3 linked regions of the Canis lupus familiaris genome follow. The protein of the gene in region 1 interacts with the protein of each later gene in a biochemical or structural test. Links are inferred from orthologs where the notes say so. Each region holds a gene or a part of one and is shown on either strand. Other genes may lie near its edges.

Region 1 (4,320 bases):
AAAAAATTAACAGTGGGAATGTTATTTTGTTCAAGAAGCAAAATAACAGAATATCTTAGGCAGTTTTGTTTGTTTTTTCTGAAAATTCTGCTAGGAAATTTCTGCATGCTTTTAGAGCAATTTGCTTTAGTAAAGGAAATCCTATTATGTACTGGTTTATTGAACTGCTTTTGATAATTCTGTACATTTCTTTTAATAAATATAAGCAGTTTCCAGCTAAGCCTTTACAGGATTAAGAGATGAAATAGAATACCTGTCAACTTTTTAAAAAATGTAACACCCTACAGGATCTGCTTCAGTATCATCTATAAGTTTAACCAAGGGCACTGATGAAGTACCTGTCCCCCCTCCTGTTCCTCCACGAAGAAGGCCGGAATCTGCCCCCGCCGAATCTTCACCGTCTAAGGTAAGTAGAATCCTGTCATCTTGACACTGGAGTCATTATGGTTACAGTAGAATCATGTTCCCACCAGGTTAGGCTGAAACTTCAGGGTAGCTGAGCTTAATAGAGTGTAGACAAGAACTAAATACAATTTACCCTGCAGTTATGTTTATTTATTTTCTTCTGAACATAGTTTTTTGGTATGTTTTAAGAACCCTTATAAATCTAAATTATGGGTACTGTCAAGGAAAAAAACAAGCTTAATCTATAAAGAGTAATGTAGTCTCAAGCAGAGACTATGCAAGGAAAGAGAAAGAAGCAAAGAGGTGTGAAGCTTTGTATGAAAGCACATTTAAAGTGAATCTTAAACATTACCTATCTGAGCCCTTAACAGATCTGACATGCTTTTAAATGGGATTTGCCTGATGATTCTGGGTTGGAAGAGACCTTAACAGCTTATAATAGCCTTTTTTTCCCCAGTTGTTTAAGCTTCTTTCTTTGCCAACTCTTAACTTGATTCAGGGGTTCTCAAGTGTCCAGAGAACAGAGCACCTGAACAAGTCAAGACACTCTTTGCAGAACATCAAAAAATGTTAATGTAGTAAGTTTTAAATTATAAGATTAACTTATGTTAAATTGTAAATGATTTTATACTAGACTGATAGGTAAGCAGTAGCAAGCGACAAAATGTTGAGAAAAATAAAAACTTAGAAAAAAAAAATCTTAACAAATTGGTATTAAACCCTCATTTAAAACATATGGCAAAACCCCCTGAACCATACCCAGGGCTCTACCAGTTGTGTTTTTGAAAACCCCAACTTAATTCATAATATGTTTGTGGTACTACATCAATTATTAATAAATTTGTGTTTTATTCTTTTTCTCATTTGTGTCAGATTATGTCTAAGCATTTGGACAGCCCCCCAGCAATTCCTCCTAGGCAGCCCACATCAAAAGCCTATTCACCGCGATATTCAATATCAGACCGGACCTCTATATCAGACCCTCCTGAGAGCCCTCCCTTATTACCACCACGAGAACCTGTGAGGACACCTGATGTTTTCTCCAGCTCACCACTACATCTCCAGCCTCCCCCTCTGGGCAAAAAAAGTGATCATGGCAATGCCTTCTTCCCAAACAGCCCTTCCCCTTTTACACCACCTCCTCCTCAAACACCTTCTCCCCATGGCACGAGAAGGCATCTGCCATCACCACCATTGACACAAGAAGCGGACCTTCCTTCAGTCACTGGGCCGCCTGTTCCTCCACGACAAAGCACTTCCCAACATATCCCTAAACTCCCTCCGAAAACTTATAAAAGGGAGCACACACACCCATCTGTGCACAGAGATGGACCACCCCTGTTGGAGAATGCCCATTCTTCCTGAGTTTCTCTGTTCTGGGATGGACGTTTCCTAGCCCCAGCTCCATGGCTGGCAATAGAGGGCACTGAATGTGCCAGCACTGAGGAGTTAAAATGACAACTCCAAACACTAACGCCTCTCCTTCGGGATGCAGTATGAGACAATGAACTTGAACCTAGACATAATTAGAACATGAAAATGGTATTCGTTCAGAATATGGAAAGACTGATCTAGAGGAATTGGACAACTGATTTCACCTGAAAATCAAGTGAAGGGACTGTTTCTAGCCGATAGGCAGGGGTCCTCTTTTTGTGAAGTGATCTTTATCATTAAAGGGATGGAAAACACAGTCTAGTGTCCAGCAGGCCCACATGATGACAGTTTTTGTAATTCAAAATATGCACTTTTTAAAAAGAAATCTTAAACAGGGATCTTCATATCTCCTTTGTTTTCCTTTGCTTTTACTCATCCTACTTTAGAATATTTTCTTAAAAATCATTCAAAGGACTGTGAGGAGTGGCTGTGCTGCCTGACCTTGTTGGCGTCAAGGCCCAGCACTGTGCCACAGTCCTGTTTACAGATTATTACAGTGAAGTGAATGGGTACCAAGGCTTCACCAAAGAGGTACTTTGTCTTTCTTCCTTCCTTCCTTCCTTCCTTTTTTCTTTTCTTTTCTCTTTTCTTTTTCTTTCCTTCCTTTTTCTTTTTCTTCTTTCTTTTCTTTTTCTTTCTTTCTTTCTTTCTTTCTTTCTTTCTTTCTTTCTTTCTTTCTTTCTTTCTTTCTTTCTTTCTCTCTCTCTCTCTCTCTCTGTCTCTCTTTTTAGGAGTAATTATACTAATTTTAAGAGCATTCCCCCACCCTCCCTACACAAACAAAACATGGTGGTGTTGCCTTCAAACCAGATAAGTTTTGTGTCATTAACATGACAGAAGAACTTTTTTAAAAATGTAACTGTCATGTATACGATTTACATTTAGGAGACTGTTAATCTATGCTAGATTGTTATTTTCCCCCCTTCTCCCACAAAAGTTTACTGGTAATCCATGTCATGGCTCATAGCTGTCCCTCTAACCATACTCTGGAAATGTAGTCACCCAGTGTGAAAAGAACCACTTGCTGGGCATCACTGACACCATTCATGTTTTACTGATAGTTGAGTAATCAGCATATCTAGAATTACCTTGCATTGCTGAAATCATGTGTATATAGTGAATGTTATATAATAAACCTGGCAGGTCTGTTTTAATTTAATTGAATAAAGATACAAATACTTTGTTTGACTGGCATATATTAAATTATTATATGGAGAAAATGGTTGATTCTTATTTCTTTCAGTTGAAACACACACACACACACATCACATGCAAACACTAAGCATAAAAGCACGTATTGCGGTACGCCGTGGTTTCTAGTTCTGGATGTATGTATTTCATCTTAAAGAATGATCTAAAGTTACAGTTTGGCATGTAGGAAAAAATTTGGTTAGACTAGAATGGGTATTTTAAGCAGAACTTTGTTTTTTAATTTCCTAGGCAACATGTATACAGATTGTTATATTAAACATTCTACCTTGCTTGAGGTCTTTGCTCTATTCATAATAGAACATCTACCTACATCATTAGTATCATAATATGGATTATTCATTAAGCATATGTACTGATCTGAGTCTAACCAATACTGTGACTGAAATGCATGCAATTTGTCGAAGAGAAAACGTTTTATTAATCTCTACTACAATGTCTGTGAATTGTGCAGTGTTCCATCATTAGAGAGTCATCAGTGTCTGCATGTGTCTTCAGAATAATGAAGCAACATCTCAGCAATTCTGTTAACCATGCCATTAGAGACATTTTTAGAAGTGCTGCATCATGGTGGAAACCTAGTACTTTAATAATTTCCTGTGATCTTTATTAGAGCATTAAATGTACTTCACCAGTATTACAGTATATAGTCCTTTAAGACTAGAATGTTGATTGCATCATCATTAAACAATCCATCCTATCATATCCTTTCTTATTTGTTAGAGTTGAATCTTTTTTTGTTTAATATTTGTACCATTCCTATTATGGTAGCCATTTTTCTATCTGTAAAATGTCTCCTTTTAAAAGTCTCCTCCAAAATTAATTTCAAATCTACTCGTGTACACAAAGTGTTCATAAGACCATTCATTCAACAAGTGTTTATCTACGCCTACTTACTAGAGCTGCTACAATTAATCCTAGTGCACATTCCAGAATCCCTCATGACTTTTTATTAGAACAGCCTCATTTTCCCTACGATTTCCCTTTCTATGTCTTACTGATCACTTCTCTTGGATTATCCCACCTCATTTCAAATGCGAGCCTGAGAAGTCACATGGGAGCCCATTCACAATCTCCCTGGCCAGTGTGTCAGCCTTCAGCAAGGCTTTTCAACTCACTTGATCATGTATAGAGGAAAAGTTCAGATTTGGTTTCTAGTCATGATTCTCCCGAAGGGAACCATTCTTCTACCCCCAGTGGTTCTAGGAGACCACTTCACTGTGCATCAGCATTGTGGATAGAGGATATTTTTATTCTAAAGTTGACATTTGG
Region 2 (3,654 bases), on another chromosome or scaffold:
ATAAATCCAGAGAGTTGAGAATTGCTGAAATCACCCATCTACAGCAACAATTACAGGTGAGAAAATACATTCCTTAACTGCTCTTAGGCTTACCTGCTTTTCCTCCAATTCATTCCATTCGTTTATCCCTACAAGTGTCCAGCATTTACATATACATGGAAACTAATAAAATTCTGGCTAGATTGATGGAGAAGAGGAGGAGGGAAAAGGAGAAAGAGCGGGGAAAAGTTGAAGAGGGAGAGAAGATGCAAATTCCCATTATAAGAAATGTAAGAACTGACATCGCTACAGATACTGTAGACTTGCAAAAAATTAAGGGAGTATTGTAAACAACTTGATACAAATAAATCTGACAACTTAGATGAAATGAAAAAATTCACTGAAAGATACAAATCATCAGGCTCAAGAAGAAACAGAAAATCTGAATAATACTTGTATATCTATTAAATACATTTTGCAGTTAAAAGTCGTACCACAAAAAAGCCTCCAGGCCCAGATGGCTTCACTGATGAATGAAAACTTTAAGGAAATAGTGCCATTTCAACACAAACATTTTTAGAAAATAGAGGAGGAAGGAATACTAATTTCTTATTTATTACCCCGATACCAAAACTAGGTAAGAACATTACAAGAAAACTATAAACCAGTATCTTTCAAGAATTTAAATTAAAAGATAATAATAGCATATTGAATCAAGTAAAATATTTTTGTAAATGGTAAAACACCATGACCAAGTATGGCTTATTTTAGGAATAAAAGGTTGGCTTAACATTCAAATTTCAACCAACATAAATCACCATACAAACAAGACAGAGAAAAAACTAACACATCTTGGTACATGCAGGGCAAAAAAAAATTATGACCCACTTCACCTATTCATGATGTAAAAAATAGTTTTTCATTTCTGATGTAACATTTTAAGATATATATCTACTTTTTTTTTTTAAGAGTTTATTTATTTATCCATGAGAAACAGAGAGAGGCAGGGTCACAGGCAGAGGGAGAAGCAGGCTCCATGCAAGGAGCCCAATGTGGGACTTGATCCCAGACCCCAGAATCACACTCTGAGCCAAAGGCAGATGCTCAAACACTGGGCCACCCAGGCGTCCCAAGATACAAAATTCCTTCTAAGCATTGTCATATAGCCATATTACAGAAATTTTTAATGTCTTTTCATATCCATTCAGTTCAAAATCTTTTTTTTATTTTCATGGTCATTTCTTCTTTGATGGGTTATTTAGAATTATGCTATTAGTTTCCAAATATTTTGATTGTTTTCCAGATATCTTACTGATTTCTGATGTATGTTATGAGCTGTGAGCATACTCTGTATGATTTTTAAGTTTACTGAGACTTGTTTTATGGCTTAGCATATGATCTGTGTTGGTGAATATTTTATGTGCATTTGTAAAGAATATATACTCTGTTGTAGTTGGGTGGAATGTTCCATAAACGTCAATTACAGCAAATTGATTGATCGTGTTTTTTGTGTTTTCTACATCTTTACTGATTTTGTGACCTCTTCCAGCTGCAGCGAGAGGAGTGTTGATAGCTCTATCATTGTAAATTTTTCCTTTTTCCTTCCAGTTCTCTCAGTTATTGTTTCATGTACTTTGAAGACCTAATCAATTTGAGATACTAGGATATGATATATAATGTAAATAGTATCAGATGTTCACTGCTAGAAATTGTTTAAACATATTAAAAAGTACATGTACCTTTTAAAAGTCTATTTTTCTATATGATAACTTTTTTTTTATATGTCTCTCATTAACTATGAGAAGTTTCATAAAATACTCTCTTGGAAAATGTAGGAATGAGGCTACATGTTTATTTATTATCTCACTGAATGCTCTGTGACCAAACACATTTTTATTATTTAAGATTGACACTTAGTGTGTTCATTTATTGGTAATAAAATACAAATCAGGGTCCCTGAAAAAATAGTAAAGTGAAAAATAATAAATGATTTCAGGAGGGCCTGGTATATCATAGGCTATGAGATATTGATTCCCCTTCTTTACTGTTATTAGCAAATATTTGCTATGCAGATGAGTCAGGTGGCCCTTCATATTTGCTTATGACTTTTTTAGGAATTTAGGTTGGCATTTAAAAGTGATGTTTATATAAATAAAACAGTCTCAGTATATGGACTAGGCTTTTTCTGGATGTGTCATTGTCTTGGTTCAAGAAAGAAACTTTGGAATTGGGTAAGGGGCCTTTCCTTAATTTAGGGAGGAGAATAGGAGAAGCTCAGTTGTCTGGGCCTTCTTGGGAAAACCATCTGAACTGTATATTCTGTTTTGTCAACTAAGGCATTTTTATTTTCTCAAACCAAAAATCAATGCATAGAGTTTTTTTCAAGTTTTTATTGAAATTCCACTTTGTTAACATACAATGCTTATTAGTTTCAGATGTAAGATTTAGTGATTCATCACTTACATATAACATACCCAATGCTCATCACAAGTGACCTCCTTAATGAGATTTTTTTTTAAACCAAGTTAAAAATGAAAGTCATATATTTGTTACTTTGTGCTGGAAAGGTTGTCATTTTACTGAAACGTATAGAAATAGAAACTATATAGGATAATATCAGGTAAACTTGTAAGCAAATAGTGCTTTGAGAGGTCATCCATGAAAACTCCAAATAGCCTTTTACAGTGTGCAGGTTAGTTTTCTTCTTATATCAGTTAAGAAATAGTTGGTTCAGGACTTTTGTATACCTGTTTAAAATTGTACATCCATCCTTGGTGGTAGAAAAACATATATGGCAGCCAAGATCCTATTGTTAGAAATCTCTTCTTGATTTCTATCTTTAGGCATATGGTAAACCTAATTCAGTGTTGAGAATTGTAATTCAGGTTACAAAGTTCAGAGTAGTTCCTATTCAAACTATGGAGTCATTTTCCACTAACAGAGTCACTGCATTTACATTTGATCCCAGTGCAAAGGAGAGATCATTGCTTTTCATTTTCTCTGCTGAATTGTACTTAAAGTACATTTCTAAAGCTTTATAAATAGGCAGTAAGTCAACAAAAATTTACAAAACCTCAAGAGAGCTATAACTGTCTTAACTTTATTTCAGTGAAAAGCATTTGGCAAATAGTTAATTGCTTGGCAAGAAAGCAAGAGCTGCCCTGACTGGTGATTAAATGCAGTTTCTATATAGGATTTGGGGTGAGATCAGATGCGTCTTTGAGGGACGAGAATACTGACTTACGTTTGCCCGGATGTGGAACGTAGACATGCTCGTTTTCCCTGTCAGTTCATTGTTGTTTTCCTTCCTCTCTCCTAGGAAGCCCAGCAAATGCTTGGAAGACTTATTCCAGAAAAGCAGATACTCAATGACCAATTAAAACAAGTTCAACAGAACAGTTTGCACAGTACGTGTTTTCTTTTTAAAGTTGGTCTTTTCCTTTTCTACTGGCAAGAATTTCCTTCGGTGAAATGAGAAGATTACATTTTTCTTCACTGCCCGTTTGCCTCTCTTATCTTGCAATGTTTTTCTAAAATAGGAGATTCACTGCTTACACTCAAAAGAGCGTTAGAAGCAAAAGAACTAGCTCGGCAGCAGCTACGCGATCAACTGGATGAAGTTGAGAAAGAAACCAGATCAAAACTACAGGAGATTGATATTTTCAATAATCAGCT
Region 3 (3,654 bases), on another chromosome or scaffold:
TAACTATTATTCCATTTTTATGGTTTCATAGTTTTACTAATATTAGAAAAAATATCTTTTATTGCAAATACATTTCAAAAACAGTGAGTATTAAAATAGGTTTCTGAGGTAAATAATAAAAGTGTATTCCAACTTCCAAACAACCAATCTATGAACAAACTTAAATCTCAATTTCTTTAATTTAGGGATTTCCTTTTATAAGGATGACAGCACATCCAATATGCAATTTAAAAAATGTTTTCTCAGGTGCACCTAGGTGGCTCAGTCAGTCAATCTTCTGACTCTCGATTTCAGCTCAGGTCATGATATCATGGTCGTGAGATTGAGCCCCGAGTCAGGCGCTGCATTGAGTGTGGAACCTGCTTGAGATTCTCTTTTCTCCTCTGCCCCTCCCCACACACATGTGGGTGCACATACTCTCTTCCTCTCAAGAAAAAAAAAAAAAATTTCCCCCAGTTTAGTCCATTGCATTGTTTTAACTCTGAACAGAGAAGTCACAGTTCAGTTTTCTCCATTTTTCAGTGTAATGCAACAGAAGATATTTCAGAAATGCAAGACCAAAAGAATTCAAAAGGCCAAATAATCCAGCATAGTTTAATCACTGCTAGGGCTGTATTTTATTCAAAATAAATATGGTTGGAAAGAACATTGACTTTAGCTTCAGAAAATGTAAGTATACATCCCAACTTATCACCTGATTAATTTTAAAGCAGCAACTTACTCTTTCCAATCTTCTATTTATTTTTTTTTTAATACTCAGAGCTCTATTTCTATTTATTTGAAAATCAACTTACCGAAGATTCACTATCACGAATGAGGAAATCACCTTCATGCCCTCTTTCATTTAATGCCATTTCTGCTTGATGCCTGGTGACTTTCCCATAATACCATGGATTGCCAGCAAACTTTCCAGTGAGTGAAGGCCTAATGTAATCACACTGAGGAGGTGATGGTTCCAAACCTGAGGTTAATGGATTGTTCTGCATAATGGTAACATAGTTTTTTGGCACCAGACCAACCATTCCATTGATCTTCCTGCATTTCCACCATTCAGGGTCATTTTCAGGCTTTTCAATAACATCCATTACATCTCCTTTCTCAAAATTAAGTTCTTCATCATTGGACGAACTGAATGGGTAAAGAGCCTGTACCACATGCAACACTTGGCCAGTATTTAGGTTATTGACAACTGCTGCTAATTTTTCTGACAGAGAACCCACATGGTCACCCAAAGGACTGTCACCTTCCTCAGTTACATAGTTTGAAGGGAACCATCCAACTTGTCCATTGTAGCTACCTCGCCACCACCCATCACTGCATTTCTCCATGACGATCACCTTTGTCCCTTTTATCAATGACAATTCATCCTCTCTCTCTGCCATGTAGTTAAATTTTACATAAGCAGGCATGTTGAGATCATACAGACGTTCCCCTGGGTCAACAAAGCTATCATCAGCAGGTGATGCAGAATCTGGCACACTGTGTTTTCTTTTCACTTTTCCAATGCCTGTTCACATAAAAAGAGTAATAAAAGAATATAAGATAATGATAACCAAAAAATACAATTTTTCATTATTAAAAAAGGATCTTTACCTCTGTAGTTTTTTTAAGCCTTTAAATTTAGATAACAAATTTCTTCTTTTTTTCCTTTCTTTACATCTTCATGACTTGTTTATTTTATAACTGGAAGTTTGTACCTTTTGACTTCCTTCACAAATTTTTTTCACAACCAAACATATAAATCAGTTATTATATGACAGTTTATCCTCTCATCTTTTCTTTCAAAGGTGCTGAAATAATTGTATAACATAATGACAATTTCCCTAAATTTAACAAAATTTCTTCCAAATATAGATTATTTCTCTCATATCTACAACCTAAGTACATAGGTTCACCAAACCCCTATGCTTGTCTTACTTTATCAATCTAAATTCTATAATTAGCTGTATAAAAATAAAACAACAAATTACAACTTGATATGCAATATAAGTTGTAGGTCTGTCTGGGTAATCCTTTCATTTGCTTTCGTAGTTCCCATATCCATGCTGCTCTATTTACCTCATTATGTTTATTTTATTTTAAAGATTCTATTTATTTATTCATCAGAGAGAGAGAGAGAGTCAGAGACACAGGCAGAGGGAGAAGCAGGTTCCATGCACGGAGCCCGACGTGGGACTTGATCCCGGGGCCTCCAGGATCACGCCCTGGGCCGAAGGTGGTGCTAAACCACTGAGCCACCCGGGCTGCCCTGTTTATTTTATTTTATTTTATTTATTTTTGCCCTGTTTATTTTAAAGTAATACATTATTTCCTTGTTTTTCTCCCCTCACCCTCTTCACATGCGAGCTCCAGAAGAGCAGGGATTTTTGTTTACTTTGTTCACAGATACAAAACCAAAAATCTCAGACAGTGCTTAGTACATAGTAGATGCTTAATACATATTTGTTGAAAGAAATGAGAAAAGAACCACATGGTACTACCATCATAAATGTATGCTATGTCAACTTTGATCATGTGTTTTCACTGCTGATCATTTCTTAGCACATGATTTTGTGTTCTGCTTTTTTTTTTGTTTGTTTGTTTTGTTGGTTTTTTTTGTGTGTGTGTTCTGCTTTTACTGAGAAAATGGAGGCACTCCTAGATAAAACTCCTCAAACCTTCTCACTATCTCAAAACTCCTTATTACCCTCAATCTTTTTCTTCATGCAAATTTTCAATCTCTGATCCTCCCAGGATTTTAAATACCATTTTTCCTGCCTCTTTTGGGACTCTTGGCCATCCCTGTTTCCCTCCTACTCAGATCCTTCTACTGTCTAAAAACATACTCAGATCATTTCCATTCCAAAATAAAGTTACTTCAATCCTGCTACTCCTTTTGAACTATACCATTCTTTAAACATGGTAAAAAGACTCTTTTTCCCTTCAACTTCTTCACCATTCACTCACTCATTCCTAACTTCTTATGATCTGATCCTTTAATCTCTACCATTCTACCAAACTACTCAATAAAAACCATTCTTATAAAAATTGTGTCATCTCTTTACTGCCAATCAATAACTTTTAGAGCCCTCATTCTTTTCAAACTCTCAAGGCAGCAACTAAGATCACAGATTATTCTATTGTTTTTCTCCTTTAACTTCCCTGAGAGTCTCCTGTCTTACCTACTGACCTGTTTAAATATTTTTATTTATCTCTGTCTGGGCTCCCCTAAACCTTGTTATAAAATTGTACTGTATTTTCTGTCTTCCTTCTTTAATACGAGTTTCCTGAAGGCAGGAAAAAATACCTTTGTATTTTCAGCACCCACATAATAGGAACAAAATAAATGTTTGCTGAATGAAAAAGTGAAGAGATTCCTCAGTTAAAAGCGTTTCCCAAAATATGATGCCTGAACTTCCTCTCTACTTCAAGGATATCTTATACTTTTGTTTTTTGTAACTTCTGTATAGAAGGTTCTAATAAGGTCTCTCTGCAGGTCTAAGCTCTGTCTGGAATTCAAGAACTATGATTCCAACTGTCACTAGACGCCTACAGATTGTAGATATTTGCACTTCAAATACAACAAATACAAGACATCTCTAAATAAAAATAACCTCTCCCATGCCAATAAATCAGTTCCCTGCCTCTCAGCTTCTTTACTTGTAGTTAATATCA

The links.
Region 2: the proteins of SOS1 (region 1) and ITSN1 form a complex in vitro, tested with the Homo sapiens proteins (2 studies listed by BioGRID, with this or other methods). The link is inferred for Canis lupus familiaris from reciprocal best matches to the Homo sapiens genes SOS1 and ITSN1.
Region 3: the proteins of SOS1 (region 1) and NCK1 form a complex in vitro, tested with the Homo sapiens proteins (2 studies listed by BioGRID). The link is inferred for Canis lupus familiaris from reciprocal best matches to the Homo sapiens genes SOS1 and NCK1.

Annotation. Positions count from the first base shown.
Region 1 is NC_049238.1:31,169,156-31,173,475, reverse strand, and holds the end of SOS1 (son of sevenless homolog 1), read left to right. Parts: intron 1-287; coding exon 288-406; intron 407-1,278; coding exon 1,279-1,770; 3' UTR 1,771-3,753; downstream 3,754-4,320.
Region 2 is NC_049252.1:28,942,799-28,946,452, forward strand, and holds part of ITSN1 (intersectin-1), read left to right. Parts: coding exon 1-56; intron 57-3,298; coding exon 3,299-3,386; intron 3,387-3,518; coding exon 3,519-3,654. UniProt on the Homo sapiens protein: Adapter protein that provides a link between the endocytic membrane traffic and the actin assembly machinery. Acts as a guanine nucleotide exchange factor (GEF) for CDC42, and thereby stimulates actin nucleation mediated by WASL and the ARP2/3 complex.
Region 3 is NC_049244.1:33,889,252-33,892,905, reverse strand, and holds part of NCK1 (cytoplasmic protein NCK1), read right to left. Parts: intron 1,530-3,654; exon of another isoform or gene 1,508-1,529; coding exon 795-1,507; exon of another isoform or gene 761-794; intron 670-760; exon of another isoform or gene 523-669; intron 1-522. UniProt on the Homo sapiens protein: Adapter protein which associates with tyrosine-phosphorylated growth factor receptors, such as KDR and PDGFRB, or their cellular substrates. Maintains low levels of EIF2S1 phosphorylation by promoting its dephosphorylation by PP1.